4 linked regions of the Schizosaccharomyces pombe genome follow. The gene in region 3 interacts genetically with the main gene of each other region. Each region holds a gene or a part of one and is shown on either strand. Other genes may lie near its edges. The genes, in order: nem1, his3, atg7 and his2.

Region 1 (4,908 bases), 740 kb from region 3:
GTGGGATGGACAGACACGTTAGCAAACGAGTCAGAATTATAAACATCATCTGCGTACAAAAAACGCAGAGGTATAGCGGACAAGCATCCAGGTGTATTTGGCTCATCTAAGAACATTAAATCATAAGTTACCTGGAATATAACCAACTCACAAGACGATAATGCGAAGAGCAAACTTGGTTCTCCATTAGAGAAAACCAATTGTCTCACTGGTTGTGAGAATTTCCATATTGGATCCTCAGCAAACTCAAAAGCCGATACATTCAAGTAAAATGGGAATTCTTCAAAAGTTGCAGTATTTTGTAATGTCGGAGATGCACGAAAAATCCATGGAGACGAGAGGCATAAAAAGAGGAGATTTTCCGCAGTTTCATTGCTAATCTTGCTACAAGCAAGACATTCAGTTGTGGTGTATCTGTTTTTATCTGATGGCGCTGTTTTACCCAAGCAAAAAGTATTTAAAATATGTGGATTATATATAGACTCAGCAGAAGAAGCTAATTGAGACTCTTTCGCTAGTGTAGAAAATAAATTTCGCGGAACATATCTGCAAACACTTAAACCAAATGAACTACTAGTCGCTTTACGCGTGGAATTGGTGGCCTCAGCAGGAAGCTCAGTTAATTTAGGGAGTTTGTAGTTTGGATTTAAAGATAAGATATCCCATCTTTTGTCCAAGTCAACAAGCTCGACGCCCGTATAGGAGTCATACCTAGCAAAAGTCCATTCATTATTTTCAACCTTCTCCGCTCTGTGATAGCCAGATGGATTTAAAAGTTGACACGCCCCTATAATTCCATAATCCAAACTTACACTAGGTTTTTTACTAATTGCATCAATAGGCCATGTTGACATGAAGATAATTAGAAAAATAAAATTAGATTGAATTGTGTTTACAAAAACACATCTAACGACAATACAAGAGCAACCTAGCGACAAAGCAAGTAATCAGTGTTTCAAGGAAGCAATGCTGGAGTAATTTCACCTATAGTTAAGAACTTGACTTTATTGTTATACTATAATATATTTAAAGTGCTATCTTTAAACCATTATATAATTATATAAAATATAACTCCTACCGACTACATGCTTTCAATTGAACAATTTATTGATTTATGTTAACTGAGAATTTCTCTTTACTAGAAAAAGATGAAGTTTAAAAGTAATACTTAAATTAGTCATAAGACAGTGTTCAAGTAGGAGAGGAGTTCTTCTCCGAAGTCTCTAAGCTGCTATCAATTACATGTAGATTAACACAGCAACAAAACAATCTCCTTTACAATGAAATGCAAACGCTTACGATTTTGGAATGATTTAGCAATAGATAAATTGGTTTACGAATGTTGCATTAGCCCAGTTTTCCCTTTTCATAAAAAATACGTAAGGAGGTGCTGATACCTGAGGAAGAGTGCAATATTCAGATTAGCAAGTGTTTTGAATTCTCTTTAGTGTCCGCTTAACCAATTTTATCGATATGTTTATAATTTTGTAAAGTCAATAAGTTAGTTCAGCCTGTTATTTGTAAGTAATTTATTGTATGCAACGTCTAAAGGAGCTTGATACATTTTAACGTACCATTAAATATATTTAGACTTAAAAGCATCTTTCAAGTAATGTCAAGAAACCTAAAAAGACCGCTCGGCGACTTACATTCTAGCAAAACGTTGATTAAAAGAATGGCAATTAAGCTAGCTTCTACAAATATTTAGACTTTTAATAAAATGAAAATTAATTTTTCTTGCACAGAAACCCATACAAGTAAAGTTTATTAGTTAAAAAAAATGAAAGCTTCTGCAATGAACTTTCATTTTACGAACTTAATAAATATTTACACCGTATTGTTTACATTTAAATTTGTTACTTTAAGGTAGTTTTGATATATCTTCTTAAGCATTACGTCTTATGAAAATGTTATTATTTGGGTTGTAGTTCATCATTATATATATTGTGCATCGTACCACCGTGTGATTCTGGCTTTGTTTTCCCACATATTTTAGGTCTAACTAACACATATTTAATTAATTACTCTTTTTTACTAAAAGGACTCTGCTTGGTCGTTGTATACTTTGTATGCATCGCTTCTTTTGGTGAATTTTTTAATTCTTTGCAATCGCAGCAGAGAGAAAATAATTGTAATGAATTCGATTGCTAGGCTATCAGATGAAATTAATAAAGCAATCCTTGCCACTCCTTTAGACGACGATGAAGCTGACAAAGAAAAACTTGCTAATGCTCGGGGGCGAGCTTCATCAGCTACTTTGAGGCATTATAATCGTCGTAGATCGTCTTATTCGGCGTCCAGCCTTAGCAGTTTGTCATCAAAACCGACGGAAAAGGAAGTTCCTACAAGGAATGAAAAACCGAAGCATGCCAACATTATGCGTGTTGTCGTCTACTGGATTCGTGTGTTCCTGAAACGAATTTATACGTTTTTCGTTCATTCCGCTCGTGTATTTTTGTACCACTTTTTGAATGAAGAGAAAGAGTTTACCCTTGCAAGTTTTTTTTGGGGTCTATGCCGGTTTGTCTTTTTTCCTGTATTATTATCGTATAAACGCCGAGAGATGCTTCCCCCTCAGCCAAGTGTCCGCCGTCCTAGGTTTTATTCTTCTTATTCTTACCCATCCTCTCACCAGGATCCTGCCTATTCATCTTTCAAACGACATAGATCTTCTAATTCTTATAGCAGTTCTTCTAATGGAAATCATGTTCGTTTTCAGCCCTCTATTGCAGAAGAAGAAATTTCTTTCAATTCTTTTTCAAATTCATTGAATTCAGAAGAAGATGTGTGTGTTTCTCCTATGAAACCCAAAGAGGTCTCCCTAATGGGAAAAGCAAATTCCAATCGTTCAGGACATTCGCATCAACCTCAATCAACTCAGTTTTCCCCGCCTGCTAATGACAATATTTCTAAGCTGCCTTCCTCCTTTACGATAGTTAATGATCCTCTTAAATCTCCTTCTTCTTCCCGTCTCCGTATTAGAAACATTACTCTGTGTGCGGACAAAATACCGAGGCCTTTGTTGAATAGCAAGTTACCGAGAAAGACCCTTGTATTAGATTTGGATGAAACACTTATCCATTCCGTGTCTCGTGGTAGTCGAACGACTTCTGGACAGCCAATTGAAGTACATGTGCCTGGTGAACATCCAATCCTTTACTATATTCACAAAAGGCCTCATCTTGACTACTTTTTATCAAATGTGAGTCAATGGTTTCGCCTTATTTTGTTCACAGCATCTGTCCAGCCATATGCTGATCCAATAATTGATTATTTGGAGCGTGATAAAAAAATATTTGCTAAACGATACTACCGTCAACACTGTGCACTTGTCGATAGTTCTTTCGTTAAAGATATTTCCATTTGTAATATTCATCTTTCACGGATCATGATAATTGATAATTCTCCAGCCAGTTACAATGCTCATAAAGAAAATGCCATACCTATTGAAGGTTGGATTAGCGACCCCTCTGACGTTGATTTACTAAACTTACTTTCTTTTCTTCATGCACTGCAATATGTTCATGATGTGCGAGATCTTTTGGGGCTTCGTCTCGCAAAATAAGTGCTTTTCATGATTCCTTTTTTTTTTCGTGAGTAATTTACTCGTTATTTATCACCAGTAACGATGGTCTAAAATAACTTTTTCTACTGCATTAACATCTTGGGTGCCTTTCCTTTCTCATCATCAAACTTCTTTGTTATAACCTCAAAAGGGTACCTTTTGGATATTTCCTAGACCGCATTTGGGCCATTCCAGTTAAATAATTTTTGTTTCTTTTTGCTGATAATATGTCAATTAATGTAAGCCTAATCGTAAGAAATTCTTTCTAATAAACTAAACGCATGTTTTAAGAAAGATTAGTTTCTGCACTGATGTTCGCAGCAATTACGAAGGCAACTTACTTATGAAATTTCTTTCTAAATCAAGCTTTTAATAAACATGTTTATTCTATTTAAGTGTTGATTCTTTTTTTTTTACTTTTCAATCTGTTATTACAATCAACTTACTTAATCAGGATGGGCAAAGGATTATAAATGATTTAATGATTATAAACCAGATTACATAGACTTTTAGCATTTTAAAATCATATCACTAGGCTAACGACATTGTTCTAGCAAATAACATAACCCAAAACCACATTATTATTATATGTATCTAATAACACGAAAATTCAAAAAACCTAATATATGCAGAATTAATAGTTGAATCAATACCAACCACCACTTCTATTGAAGTTTAATACTTTTAACTAAACCAGCTTTAATACCAGTCTGCTCACCAGCATAGCCGCCCTGTGGTGCGCCCTTGTAAATAGCCTTTTTGCTGGCTAATTTCTTCTTAGCTTTTTCGTAGCGCATACGCTTTTTAAGTCGAGGATTTCTATTTTCTTTAGGTCGACGGGGAGTTAATCCTCTATTTTTAGCAATGTCTAAAGTAATTCCACGCTTATCACCTTCACCTAATTCAATTAGTTCTGGGTGCCTTGAAGCTCTTATTAAATCACGTTCGAGATCGTGATTTTCTTTACGGAGCTTTTTAGCCATCTTTGATTTTTTATCGAGAGACTCGTAATAATCCAAATCATCTTGATCTTCAACTTCACGATCGACATTTGCAGGTATGCCCATTGATTCCGGATCTTCATCATCAAGATCAGCACCAGCATCCTGATTTCGACCCCTGGCTGCAGCTTCTCTCATCAATCGCTGCTGGCGTTCAAATCTTCGTTCTTTGTATGGCATGTCCAAATCACCTGATAACTCCAGTACCGCTCTGGAACGCTTAGCTGCCTTTTGGTCAATTTGATTAGCATAAAACTTTAAAGAGCGTTTCCTAGCAATCTTGTCTTCAGCATCAACATCGTCCAATCTGTTGCCTTCACCATAGTCATCGAGATTTTTAAT
Region 2 (4,420 bases), 1.1 Mb from region 3:
GGTGACGCTGAAGTGCTGGTGGAATTAGGTATATCTACTGTACCTGCAGCGTTTAAACGATCATTTGATGACTCACCGAATACACTTTGATATTGAAAAAGGAGAGAAAATGCGCGATCACGAATGACCTGTATATATCTCCGTAAGTACAACTCAGGATTATTGTAGTCAAGCAATGGCACTAAATTTCGAAGGCTTGTTTGTAGTTGTTTCCATGAAAAATAAAGAAAAACGTATTTCAATTGGGCTTCGGACAGTTTTGCAGTTACCCGGAGATAGGTCACTACTTTGATTAATGAGTAAAGCTTTAATGGCTTCTGTAGCTGTAAAATAAGTTTCTCAGTAAGTTTAACCACCAGCGTTTCAACTTGAGTAATTAGTTCTTGAATGATAGAGTTTGTACCAAATCGATCTTTTAATCGATACGCAAGTGCTTGAAATTCCAACGTTTCGGAAAAGTAATTCCTTTCGATACAAGCGTTCATCAACTCTGGTAATTCCAGTATACTACTTAATTGCGGCTGAACTTGATGCATTAGTTTTGCATCTCTGTAATGCTCTGAAATTGAAGTTAGAAAGTTTTGGCTTCTCTTGACAGGTTCATATAGCTGATTTGTATGTAAAACAAGCTCTTTAAAATCGTGTCTACTGTTCTCGAGAAGTTGATAAAAGGCATCTTGATTCCTAGCATAATCGACTAATACATTGTAATTGTCTCGTAACAGTTGCTGGCGTTTTTGCACCAATTTTAATTTTTGAGCATGCAATTCGGCTTTTCGTTTCTCCAGTTCTGCATACGGTTTCATAGTAAGATCTCGAACAAAAGCATCCATTTCCGTTACATTATCCCCTATACTATCCATGTCTTCAAGATCTTTAAGCTTTCAAGTCAGGTTGTACAGCAAAACAATTCTTAGTGAAAACGCGTAAAAAAATCATTCACAACTATCTTCTAAAAAAAAGAAACTAATAGAATCTAAAAGAGCTACACGTTTGGATGAATGCGTTACGAATATAAGTACCTTATGTGTAGTAAGGGTTGGAAAGCACCAGCCTTAATGTAAGGATCCATTCTCGAGTAGAAACTTGCATCTTCATCTTGGAACACTGGCTAGATTTTCCGATCGTTTTGTTTAAAGGATTTAAACAATATTTAATTAAAAAAGGTTGAGCAATAGTATTCGCATTTTCTTTGAATAAAATAAAGCAAAAGCGCTGCGACAATTTAATTTATTTAACTTTTACATAAATCGTAGGCCAAAAAGTTATGAATCCAAAATGGTTATCCTAGGTAATGAAATAGATTGTGAATAAGACTGGATTGAACTGCCTCATCTATGCAGCCTGTATAGTGAAAATAAAATAGCTAGATAAAAAGCATGTAGCAATTGAAACAACCTCATAAAATGTAATGAATTATGAATTTAAGTAACAAATATCTATTTCTCGGACGGCAAAAGTCTAGTAAATATGTGTTTTAATTTCAGCGAACTGTAAACAATGGTGCATTTTCTTTACAGCATTAGTATAGTAACGAAATTTTTATCAAGCTTTCAACGTTTTCTTTACTATTGCACTTATAATTGTATTTGGAAATGAAAGACATATGGAGCTTTATTTCTCTTTCCTCTTCAGGTTTCTGAATTTATTGGATATAATGACACGGTGATACACGTTGTAATGAATTAAAGACTCACATTGCTACACACTATATATTTATAGATATCACCTGCATCTTAGGTTAATTATTAATTAATCTCATCGATCGCTTTCTTCTTACTTTAACAAAAACACATCGAAAGAGATACGATGTTTGATTTGAATACTTGTCTTCGTAAAAATATCTTAGAACTTCAGCCTTATCGCTGTGCGAGAGAGTATGTAATAACTTGATAAACTAGAAAGCGTGATATATATTAACATAGAATATAGTGACTTCTCTGAGTATGTTTTATCTTTATATTTGGGTAATAATTGATATGAGGGCTACTTCTAGAAAGATATTTTATTAGCTGCTTGGAAAGCAATGAAGTACTCCCTGTTTACTGTTGTTGTTGGAGCTGGCGATTTCAGGCCTTTGTTGTTTTTTACCCTTTTCTCGCCTATATATTTTTTGCTAATCTTAATAGAGGTGTCCTTCTTGATGCCAATGAATGTGCTTATGGTTCGGTTATTTCCGTGGACGGTGTGGAATTCAATCGTTATCCGGATCCTAGACAGATCGAAGTAAAGCAAAGATTATGTGATTTGAGAAACAAAGAGCTTTCCATTACCAAGCCACTAACACCAGATAACATTTGCATGGGTGTTGGCAGCGATGAAATTATTGACTCCTTAATTCGCATTTCTTGTATTCCTGGAAAAGATAAGATTTTGATGTGTCCACCTTCGTACGGAATGTATACGGTCTCTGCAAAAATCAACGATGTTGAGGTTGTTAAGGTTCTCCTTGAACCAGATTTCAATTTGAACGTCGATGCTATTTGCGAAACACTTTCTAAAGATAGTGCCATCAAAGTCTTTTTTGCTTGTTCCCCTGGTAATCCAACAGCTAAGGCTCTTAAACTCGAGGATATTAAGAAGATTTTGGAGCACCCTACATGGAATGGAATCGTTGTCGTCGATGAGGCCTATATTGATTTCTCTGCTCCCGATATGTCTGCCTTAACTCTTGTCAATGAATATCCAAACCTTGCTGTTTGCCAAACCCTTTCGAAATCTTTCGGTCTAGCAGGAATTCGGTAAGTTAATCTAAGCTTTTAAGCATTAATATTATTTCTTTACTAACTATGATGTTTAGTATCGGATTTTGTTTGACAAGTAAACCTATTGCTACCATTATGAACTCATTAAAGGCTCCTTATAACATTAGCGAACCCACCTCTCGTTTAGCTTTGGATGCTTTATCCCCTCAGTCGATTGATAAAATGCATACATATAGAGATGCTATTATACAGCAAAGAGTTCGTCTTTGCAAAGAGCTTACTACCATTAAAGGAATGGGCAAGATTATAGGTGGTTATGATGCAAATTTTATCCTCATTCAGGTTTTAGATAGACCAGAAGGAGGTAAGCCTAGTAACGATGCCGCAAAATATCTTTATTTACAAATGGCCACGATGCACAAAGTCGTTGTTAGATTTAGAGGTACAGAGCCTCTTTGCGAAGGAGCATTGCGTATCACTGTTGGCACAGAAGAAGAGAATACGATATTACTAAAAACTATTAAACTTGTATTGCAGGAATACTATACAAAAAAATGAGGTTTCCTTTTCTGGCCTATTAGAACGTTTCAATTAGACAAATTATAACTCTTTCCTTTCCCCTTCCGGACTCGTCACATTTCTTTTCTGATGTACCCAATATATTTTGTGTTCGCTAATTGCGCTTGCATTCCTTCTTTCTTTATTAAAATACGTTTTCTTCCTTTTTGGTGTGTTTCCGTATAGTTCGATAAGCAATGAAAAGATGTTATTTTTAATTTTGTAAAGGAGTTACGCTAATTTAAAGGATTATAACCCGTGTAATAAAAGAATTAAAGATTCGTTAGCTTTGCATAGACAGTGAAAGTTAGAAATGACACTGAAACTATACAAGTTCCTAGCATAAATCCGAGTTTTACGCTTGAATACGTTTGAGCGAAATACAATTTGATTATGGCGAAGGGAACAGTTGCAGCGATAATGCATGTCCCCCAAAATAGCATAAATAGAACAAAGACAGCCAACAGTCCATTCACGCGTCTCATTAATCTTTTTTCGGGCGTGATTGATCGTATTCCAGACATTATTTCCGATTCGAATTTTCGAGCCATTGCATCTGTAGAAAATTCATTCTTCACCCATTCACTCCCTGCTTCACCCATGGCAGCAGTATCATATGTAGTACTAGTAGTCGCTTCATATATAACATTTCCCCAAATTTTCGCGTCTCTAGGACGAAGCCAACCATTCTTTCCATCTATAACCGTTTCCAAGGGCCCACCATTCGTTTGGGCTAATACTGGAACTTTACGAAGCATGGCTTCCAAAGGGACAATACCAAAATGTTCATTTTCAGGAGTGTAGAGCAATATTCTAGAAGAAGAAATTAAAGCATCCCGAACCTTTGAAGGAACTGATAATAAAAACAATACATTGGTAGAAGGAGCAACAGTTATGTTATCCCAATTATCTTTTACAGTCGTATAAGAAAGATCCTTTTGTTCACAAAATTCCTGCAATTCTTTTAAATATCGACGATTTTCTGAAACACGAATATCGTAGCCACCGGCTACTAAAAGCAAGTATTCAGGAAATCGGTTAGCAGAAAGATCGCGCAATGCACTAAAAGCATCGATTGCAAGTCGAATATCCTTCTTCCTTTCAAATCGGTTGACGGAAATTAAAAGCTTTCGTTGACTATAACGTAAATACCTTAT
Region 3 (5,096 bases):
GAGAGAAAGAGTTTACTTGTTTCTCCTCGTGTTTCGTCCCCAAAACTTTTTTCCCCTTCGAAACAGGCAATTATGGGTACTCGACAACCAAATGCAACTTCAGGATCCCCCTTGAGCGTTACCCCTTTTCTTCAAAAAACTTCTACTTCTATAGGGCTATCTTCTAGTCCGCCTCAATCATCGCCATCAGCTCAGTCCTCACAGCCTTTTTCGCGTGACAAGTATCCCCACTCCATGACCGTAAGCCCATCCAATGCTCGTTATCTTAAAAAACACTTAGACGATACCATCCCTTCAAATGTAAGTGATATTAATCATAATGATCACTTAAAAATACCACAATCCCCATCATCATTGAGTCCTTCTAAGATTCCAATCAGAAAAAAAAGAAAGTTGAAGGATACTGTTTCTAACTGTGAATTTACAGAAGAAGATAGCGAATCTAGCTTTCTATTAGAGACAATACAACCTACTAAAAGTACATTACGACGCTCAATAAGTCCGTTAAAAAAAAGAAATGATGAGATAAATGAATTGAAGAAAGGATTTACAATGAAAAAATAAATTAAATAGATTTTGTCTAACACTTCATAGATTTTTCAATTATCGATTTTTCCAAACATAGTTTAATTCATTAGTATACTGGTCCATAACACACGCCATTAAAGAATCACACTTTCTTTATCACTAATCCATTCTTCCATTGTGCCAGCAATTTCACCTAATGCTTGTACTTCTCTTAATCCACATAATTCTTCAACATAGTCCGGTTCATTAATGGCTCGTAAAACAAACATCCATTTCTCTCTGTTCCATTCATTTATAATACATTCACTGCAAGCTGAACACTGAGGATAAGCCATCCCTGAAATTTTCATTAGGCTAAAATTATGCAAGAACCCTCGAATTTGATGGGGAAGTTCACCTAACACAGTTTGATCTTCATTTAAGACAGGTGCAGCATGTCTAAAATTGATAATTAATAATTCTAAAAAAAATTTCCGTACCCATTGGGGTGCTGCAGCAAGCTAACAAATAACTCTACTGCTATTGCTGTAGCAATGTTAGCACATCCTGATCGTGTTACTGTGCAGGTCTGATCAAGTGTACGGTCAACTAGTGAGTTTGAAGGCGCAAATATGTCATTACAAAAATAACAACCTAAGCGATTCTCTTTTTGTAAAACACTACCATGTCTCATGACCAGCCAGCTGTCAAATCCTAATGCTGAATTGATCAACAACTTGTCCATGGCAGTTGATATGACTGTCGGAAGCCAACGTGATTCCCTTGTATCGGTCAACAAGAATATCGCATCGTGAGTGGAAATAAGGTTCTCAAGAGTTTCGTAATCATGCATAGTTTTCTCAATGCCAGCTTCATATATAGGGTGTCCAAGCATTGGTATGCTGATGTTATATCCCGTTGAAAACTTCTTTGTTAGCTTGCATTCATAATAATTTTTTGTACCATATTCGGGTATATCTCCTTAAGCCGTTGCGCCGCACACTCTGCCTTTGGCAACTTTCGTTTGCAATCTTCAAATGTAAACAATGACTGGCGGACAGGATTTGAGTAGGAGACAGTAGAGTAATCCACAAATGTAACATGTCTCACCCCCCACGACTAGAACGTTAGCAATTTGGTCGTTTGCTTCATATAAATATTTTATTTCAATTTCATTACCAGCAAATTCCTTGCCACTCCACAACCCAGAGTACCGGCCCCCAGAAGTAAACATTTTGAGTTTTGAATACGATCGAGATCTAATTGCGGCACTAGTCTCCATCTCATCAAGCTTAGGTTTAACGTTGAAGCAGATTCAGACAATACAAAAGGATCAAGGACCGTAGACAAATTAACGACCCGGGGACCTAAAACGCCTTTTCCATTTCTTTCCCATCCAACGATTGAAAGGGGTGCTTCAAGAATCATATCCTTATCTGCTTCAACTTTTATTAGTATGCTTTTCGACAGCGTATCAGAATTAATCCCATCGCGATATAGAAATAAATTAATCACTTTCAATTTAAACTTAATAAATGCAAAAGCGAGGATATTCCTGACTGGCCAAGATGGATATTCTGCCAATTGAACAGAATCTTCTGCAACGAGATAAAACTACGTGTTAGTTGGATTAAAAATCGATGGCATACCTGAAGCGACTTGTCCACACAGTGGGAAAGCTCCTTCAGAGGTGCAATAGTCCATTCATCTAATGTTGATTTTATTAATAAGAAAAAAGGGCGTTGATAGTAATCAGCTGTAGACAAGAATTCACGAATTTGAGATAAAATTGGACCTGAAGGTATTAGCGATTCAGCTGGTGATAAGTCTTTTACAATCCAGTGAGGAGTTTCTTTAAACGAAGGAAATAAGCACCAATAATGGTATTTGTAAGCTTTTATGTCGGCGTAAGAAAATATAAGAAATCTAAGTAATTCATTAGGCCTTTCAGAAACAACTCCGTTTTTAATTGAATTTAATAACTATACATAATGTTAATGAGCTTTTGTATCAATCTACTTACAACTTCACCAATTTCCTCTCGAATTTTTTTCACGTCAGCGTTAGTAAATTCTTGAGGAGTATTGGCATTTAACAGTGTACCCTCGGCTAAACAGTCTTTGATATTACTAGGGACAGATTAGATGAAGCATTATTGTACACTCATTACCTGTTTGATGGCGCTTCTCCAAATACAATTGATATATTTCCTCTTGAATATGTATTAAATTTACCATGAATAGTTAAAGGTGACGCGTCTAATTTTTGCTTTTCGACTTTGTAATTGCTCAATTGATGCCAAAACGTAGCATCAATGGAGGAATGGAATGACTGAAACTGCAATGCCTTTCCAACAAACATTTCTGAACGTTGCTACAACGTTAGTTTGCTACACAGTTACTATATACTGCTGGGTATACACAGTAAGTAGTGTAGTAAATTATAGATGTCATTACATGTTGAAGCCGTGAACTGTTTATCACTGTGCTTTAAATTTCGTTAAATTAGAAATTATTTAGGGCAAGTCCAATTTACACCTGCGTTATTACAGAATATATTGAATATTGCAAATATGCTATAATTACATTGGTGTCAGCAATACTACACTACGTTGCGTATCACTATATGTCACATGTTCTAATTATATATCGTACCATGTATGATACGATATGGAGATTGATCTTAATGATAATCTATTAAGATCAATATTATCTGAATACTATAAATAGAGCTACTGCTGAACCTCGTTCCTCAGTTCAGTTATGAGCTATATTAGTGATAGGTAACATTATAACCCAGTTAATACAATACCTATACTCAGTTGCTACTTATACAACCTGTGTATTGTAATATAATAGATCACAAGGAAAACTCACCGCAGTTCTACGTATCCTTAAATCAGATACCAAACTGCGTAGCTTACAATTGGGTTTCAGATATATTTTCAAATAAAATGAATGTCAGCTCTCTTATGTATTTAGGGTCAAATTTACATATTTTGAAACTCTTGACCGTGGAGACGATATAGCATTTAATTGGAATGGTGCGTGGATACTTACAATCAAAACTACTCTTTCAAAATTTAAAATACGAAATTCGTTCACAGAAGGTAACTCAAAATGCTATTAAGGATATTTTTTATTTATTTCAAATATTCGGGGAGTGATGACTGTAAAACGACTTTTGCGTCAAAGGAGTTTTTAAAGCCAAACTGAATGGTTGGTCTATTTTGTAAAGAAAGACTTAAATCCGGGTCTCTTTGATAATGTAATGTTAAAAAAATTTAGTTGTTGTATGCTACCAAATTCTGCTCAACCCAAAATTCAATAAGACGCTCCGATGATTGCTATTAAAAAAAAAAAAATGATATAAATTAATGTCAATCTAGCCTTTCAAAAAGATAGACATATCCGGTAGTTTTTGCTTCTTCCAAGGAGGCAACTTGAAGCACCTTTTCATCATTAAACAAAACCCATTGCTGCTTTCCATCTATCTCTTTGCGTATAAATGCTACATAATGACCGGCATGCGCACTTGAGCCCTTATGGCTTATTATGGCCTTTAAATTGTAGTTGACTGGAACGTTTGTCGATTCCCAACTACCCATATTTTCATTTTTTATTGAAGAATCTGATCCTTCAAGTGGTGGTTCTTCAAAACTTTCATCCGGATGATTTAAAATCCAATCAACTGCGCGCTCAATATTATTGTTAGATTCAAGCAATCCTTTTCGTGCTTGTGCAACAGTAAAGCCGAATTCACATAATGATTGAACATTTTCTTCTGAAACACTTGAGTCTGCTTTGGGCAGTAATTCAGAAACTTCAATAGGTTTGTCAATTTCAGGGTCCTCCATATGTTCAAATAGCCAGTTCATGGCAGTTTCAGTATCAGAATTTCCAGTAGCGAGTAATGCTCGTTGGCATCTGACTAAAGGAAATCCCATAGCTTGAAGCTGTTCAATAGCACTTTGGTTCCATTCAATGGTCTCTGTCTTTTCAGGAAGATAATCTTCGTCATTTGGGTGGTCCTTAGCCATTAAGCGATCGAAATTATAAATTCCGTCTTCATTAACTATTATAGGGATGCTTAATTTCTTAACTTGATATCCCTGTAAATCAAACCGGTTGGCTTGTAGGATCAAGACTTTCGGGAACGACTTCATGGCAGTAGTAGTTGTAGCTCCTAGTTTACTTTTACAAGCTTCACAAGTATACTCCATTTGGTCTGGTTGTATAGTTGCATCTAAACATTGGTCTATTGAGACTTCTTCATAAATTTGCTCACCCTCAATTTCACCAATTTTAACACGCGGAACTGTCAAAGTCAATCCCTGAGAAGAGAAAGAAGAATAGCGAACGCGTTTACAGGAAAGACAAGATAATTTTTGCTCCGTTTCAAAGTCAAAAATCTTAGTAATGTCAGTTTTCGCAATACTAGATTTCCGTATTTTCCCCAGCAAATACAATAAAAACTCATAAGCATCTTGCTGTTGAGAAGTTCCAAATTCAGAATGCCCTTGTCCCACAACATCTTTGAACATAAAAGGCCTCAAACCATCTTGGTAAGGAAGAATCGATGAAGAAGGA
Region 4 (4,429 bases), 480 kb from region 3:
AATCCCTAAGGCCACTTGCTGCATAGACATGTTTATTTGATTCAAAGATTGTAGTACTATTAAGTCAGACTTCCAACCACTTGGGAAATTCTAAATCTCACTTACCTAGTTGAGAATTTTGTTGTTGGACTTCACTAATAGATCGTCCTAGTTGACCGATCGTTTGATTAACTACCTCTTGTTTGGTATTCATTTCAGCCAAACAACTAGCAATTTGATTGCTCTGTGACTTTTGATGCTGTTGCATATCTTCGGCTTGCATTGCCAACTTGCGAGACCATAATTGAGCAGCTGAAACTGAATAACTCATTATTTAATGATCGTTTCCGTTAAAATTCCCGTAACGCTTAATTGCAGGTTTGGTTAAAGGGAATGTTCGTTTTCACTAGAAAAAAGTCGAGACACGCGACGCGACACCAACTAACTTCAGGTTGAATTAATGGATAATTACTCAGTATATTGGATGCCCATTCATACTATTAAAATTAAATTGAAAAATATAAAATAAAATAAAATAAATCATAACCTAAAAATACTTTGTCAAATTTAGTACCAAACACAAATTTTATTTTAAGCCGAATCCTTAATTAGGTATACGTAAAAAGGAAACCCCTTTCAAAGTCTAACTCCCCGAACACGAACAGCATCGGCATGCGCAGTGAGACCCTCCAACTCAGCAAGACGAATAACAGTAGGGCCCAACCGCTGGATTCCTTCTTCAGTGAGCTCTTGGGTAGTGATATATTTTAAGAAGCTATCGGTACTAACGCCAGAATAAGAAGAGGCGTACCCGTATGTAGGAAGCGTATGGTTGGTACCAGACGCATAGTCACCCATACTTACAGGTGACCAAGGACCAACGAAAACGCTACCAGCATTATCTATTTTGGGAATGTATGAAGAAGCATTTTTTAAGTGCAAGACCAAGTGCTCAGGACCATACAAATTAGACCATTCAAAAGCTTGATCAACATTGTCAACCTGTACAATAACCGACTTCTTGATAGCATGTTTGATGATATACGAACGAGAAAGTCGTAAAGCGTGATCATTAATTGCTTTTTGAATACGGTCAAACATTTCGGGAGATAGAGAGACAGTCAGCAAAATGATCTGACTGTCCAAACCATGCTCTGCTTGAGACAATAAATCCAAGGCAACACTTTCAGGATTACAGGTCTCATCTGCTATTACCAAAACTTCTGAGGGACCAGCAGGAAGATCAATAGCAACTAAAGCCCCGTAATCATTCTGAACATGCATCTTTGCAGCTGTAACAAATTGATTTCCAGGGCCAAAAATTTTGTTAACTTTAGGAACACCGGATATTCCATATGCCATGGCCGCAATTGCTTGCGCCCCGCCTGCCAAAATAATAGCCTCAGCACCAATTTTATTTGCAATATATACAATTTCAGGCGCAACCGTACCATCCTTTCGGACTGGCGTAGAAATCACTACATGAGGACAGCCAGCTACCTTCGCCGGAACTCCAAGCATCAAAGCAGTAGATGGCAACACTGCAGTTCCTCCAGGGATATAAAGACCAACTCGGTTAATAGGACGAGACATCCGTTGACAGACTACACCACGCATGGTTTGAACAGCAATTGTAGGACGCAGCTGTGATGAATGGAAAGCAAAAATATTGTTAAAAGCAATATCAATATCCTCTTTAATCATTGGGGATATTTTCATTAAGTCGTCGTCAAACGGAGCCTTTAAGACAGCCGACTTCAATTGAACCTTTTCAAATTTGGAAGCATAATCTATTAGAGAAGCTTCTCCTCTTGATTTAACATCCTCGATTATCGGTTGGACAATCGTACGAATTTTTTGAGTGTTCTGAATGGGTCTTGCAAGTAATCGTGTACGTTCTTCGGCGGTTAATGCAGCAGCTCTATAAGAAGGCACCTGAATCTCGTATTCCGGCATTATTAAGTAAATTAAAGGTAGTCAAGTCTAAATCGACTCTCTAAAAATTTAATGCAATGTTGGCTAAGGAATGGCTGGATCGGTGAATACTCGATTTCCCTTACAGCAAAGATCTAAATTTGATATGTCTTCGGATAAACCGCGGTTGCAACTTTTTATCCGCGGTAATAGAATTAACAAAGATCGAGAGAAACAAAAAAAAATTTATTAAATAATCGTAGTTGTATTATTAAAATTAATCTAAAACGTTTCATCTTCATTGGCATTACAATCTTTAGTATAGTGAAGAATCCACGAAAGCACTTCTTTATGCCAACGTAGGGAATTATCAGGTTTAATGACCCAATGGTTTTCGTCTTCAAAGACTAGTAATCTGCTAGGAATTCCCTTGTACTGCAAAACATTGAATGCGGCTATTCCTTCACTTTCGGTAAGCCTGTAATCCTTTGAGCTATGAATTACAAGTTCAGGAGTGGCCCAATAATTCACAAAATTTGAAGGATTCCAGCGCTCATAGATAACTCTGTTTTCCCAAGGAGTACCCCCAAAATCGTGAATAGAAAAATAAAGTTCTTCAGTATTGTAAAAAGTATTGAGGGTATTAAATACCCCGTCATGACATACAAGTGCACGAAATTGACGACCTAAAGGGTGTCCTTGAATCCAATTAATCATGTAACCACCATAGGAAGCACCTAAGGCAACCATTTTTTCAGAATCAGCATAGGAAAGATGATTTTTTATGTACTCAACACCAAGTTCAATATCTTTATATGGCTTACCACCCCAATCAAGAGCAATGGAATCGGTAAAACGTTGTCCATAACCTGTAGATCCAGTAGGATCAAGAGCAAATACAATAAAACCAGCATTAGCAAAAACTGCAGGATTCCAGCGCGTTGACCAACTATCTGTCCAAGAACCTTGAGGTCCCCCGTGTATAAGCACTGCTACAGGATATTTTTTAGATTTATCAAAACTTTCGGGCTTTACAATCCATGCATGAATTCTGTGACCATGAGTGCCAGGAAACCAAATTTCTTCATAAGAAGTTGGCGATAATCCGACATTGTTCTCGAGTAAAACACTTTCGTTTAACGTTTCAACGTTAATCTTTGCGTAATAAGGGGGATTGATTAAAGATGACTTCGTAAGCCATAAGGAAGAAGATTTAGGGACACTAATAGAAGAAACAGAGTGTTCTTCTGTCATTGGGATAACTTGGTGGTGAAATATAGAAACAAAAAACAAAATTTGCTTCCCATAATTCTCAGCAATAGCAAAAAGACCTGGTTCGCCTCCTTTGAAAACCCCCCATTCAATGCTGGAAGGCGATCGGTCCCAATGACGAGCAATGTGCTTTTTAGCGCCTGACTCGGACTCATATACCATTATTTGATTTTGATCGCTTTCGTACTGTGGTGTTTGCATTTCAAGCCATGCAATATGATTTCCATCTTTGGCTAGTCTTGGTGAAGAGCATGCACCCTTCGCAGTGCTCAATGACTTCAGATTCCGAGTGTTCAGATTAATCTCGTAAACAACTGTCTTTGTTTGTGTTGCCGGATTTAATTTCGGGTCTTTTGCTACAAAGACAAGTTTGTCGTAGTTAGAATCAAAGTCAGAAAGACCTCCGAAGGGTTCGACAGGAGATTCCAAGCCAGTTTCCTTCAACAAATCAATAGCTTTTTCTGAGGAAATTTCAAAATAATTTGAGTTTTCCGTTTTTTTATCTAGCTCTATAAAATAAAGGGTATTCCTAGATCCTGTGTTCCATCTATCCCAGTGTCGAACAAACAAGTGATCGTATACGTGAACATTTGAAGGTCCCTTAACTAACGAATTATCCACTGAACTAAAAACGATTCTATAGTGGTTGTTCTTTTCTCCGATCCTTATATCAGATATTGAAGAGTTATGATTATATATGATACGCTCTGATCGATTGTTAACGTCAAAAAGAAGGATACTCGATGAGCTAGAATTATCTTCTCTTGCATATAAAAAAGCTGAATCAGTAATCCATGTGAGCGCTTTGTTTGATTTGCCGTGTACTAAAAGCTCTTGATGGTTTCTAGTGCTTTCATTCAAAAGGTAAATTCCAGAGTTATATTTGTGATCAGCAAAGGAATAATTCGATTCTATAAATATTCCAAGATTCCCTAAAGGATTGCTAACTACTGCTGACCTTCTAGGAGCTTCTAGCATGGATTCCGCATCAAATGCAGCCTTGTCAGCTGCAGTTAGCGTCATTACCAGGAAAAAAACTAGCTGCTTGAAAAGACTATGCATCCAAAAAAATATATTCTTTGACCAGAGTGAGGTGAATTCTAAGGAATTTGCATGAAGGGGAAAGGAAATTTATCTTGCAAAGATTACCAACCCATCTGACGAAGATATGATTATATATGATGACTTTATAAACTCCCAGCATAGTGTTAGCGTGCAGCCCTTTGTAAAGCGTTGGGCTGCGTTTGTACTGATAGGTGATGGT

The links.
Region 1: of atg7 (region 3) and nem1, changing one suppresses a phenotype caused by changing the other (phenotypic suppression), as found in Schizosaccharomyces pombe (one study listed by BioGRID).
Region 2: of atg7 (region 3) and his3, changing one enhances a phenotype caused by changing the other (phenotypic enhancement), as found in Schizosaccharomyces pombe (one study listed by BioGRID).
Region 4: of atg7 (region 3) and his2, changing one enhances a phenotype caused by changing the other (phenotypic enhancement), as found in Schizosaccharomyces pombe (one study listed by BioGRID).

Annotation. Positions count from the first base shown.
Region 1 is NC_003423.3:3,371,331-3,376,238, forward strand, and holds nem1 (Nem1-Spo7 phosphatase complex catalytic subunit Nem1), read left to right. Parts: upstream 1-1,971; 5' UTR 1,972-2,134; coding exon 2,135-3,565; 3' UTR 3,566-4,222; downstream 4,223-4,908. Other genes in the region: RNA polymerase I transcription factor subunit Rrn6, read right to left, coding at 1-854; U3 snoRNP-associated protein Utp3, read right to left, coding at 4,231-4,908. UniProt on the Schizosaccharomyces pombe protein: Catalytic component of the nem1-spo7 complex which acts as a phosphatase and may be required for proper nuclear membrane morphology.
Region 2 is NC_003423.3:1,487,054-1,491,473, reverse strand, and holds his3 (bifunctional histidinol-phosphate aminotransferase/imidazole acetol phosphate transaminase His3), read left to right. Parts: upstream 1-1,783; 5' UTR 1,784-1,809; coding exon 1,810-1,877; intron 1,878-1,932; coding exon 1,933-1,944; exon of another isoform or gene 1,945-2,129; coding exon 2,130-2,741; exon of another isoform or gene 2,742-2,800; coding exon 2,801-3,263; 3' UTR 3,264-3,438; downstream 3,439-4,420. Other genes in the region: COG complex subunit Cog8, read right to left, coding at 1-863; mannosyltransferase complex subunit Alg2, read right to left, coding at 3,536-4,400.
Region 3 is NC_003423.3:2,633,727-2,638,822, forward strand, and holds atg7 (E1 Atg8 and Atg12 E1 activating enzyme Atg7), read right to left. Parts: upstream 2,883-5,096; 5' UTR 2,869-2,882; coding exon 2,678-2,868; intron 2,637-2,677; coding exon 2,531-2,636; intron 2,490-2,530; coding exon 2,157-2,489; exon of another isoform or gene 2,122-2,156; coding exon 1,687-2,121; exon of another isoform or gene 1,627-1,686; coding exon 1,471-1,626; exon of another isoform or gene 1,433-1,470; coding exon 1,008-1,432; exon of another isoform or gene 967-1,007; coding exon 663-966; 3' UTR 565-662; downstream 1-564. Other genes in the region: microtubule-site clamp monopolin complex subunit Mde4, read left to right, coding at 1-564; ubiquitin hydrolase Ubp14, read right to left, coding at 3,887-5,096. UniProt on the Schizosaccharomyces pombe protein: E1-like activating enzyme involved in the 2 ubiquitin-like systems required for cytoplasm to vacuole transport (Cvt) and autophagy. Activates atg12 for its conjugation with atg5 and atg8 for its conjugation with phosphatidylethanolamine.
Region 4 is NC_003423.3:2,157,423-2,161,851, reverse strand, and holds his2 (histidinol dehydrogenase His2), read right to left. Parts: upstream 2,008-4,429; 5' UTR 1,936-2,007; coding exon 616-1,935; 3' UTR 561-615; downstream 1-560. Other genes in the region: meiotic recombination protein Rec15, read right to left, coding at 1-56, 106-310; ppp16 (acylpeptide hydrolase), read right to left, coding at 2,176-4,227. UniProt on the Schizosaccharomyces pombe protein: Catalyzes the sequential NAD-dependent oxidations of L-histidinol to L-histidinaldehyde and then to L-histidine.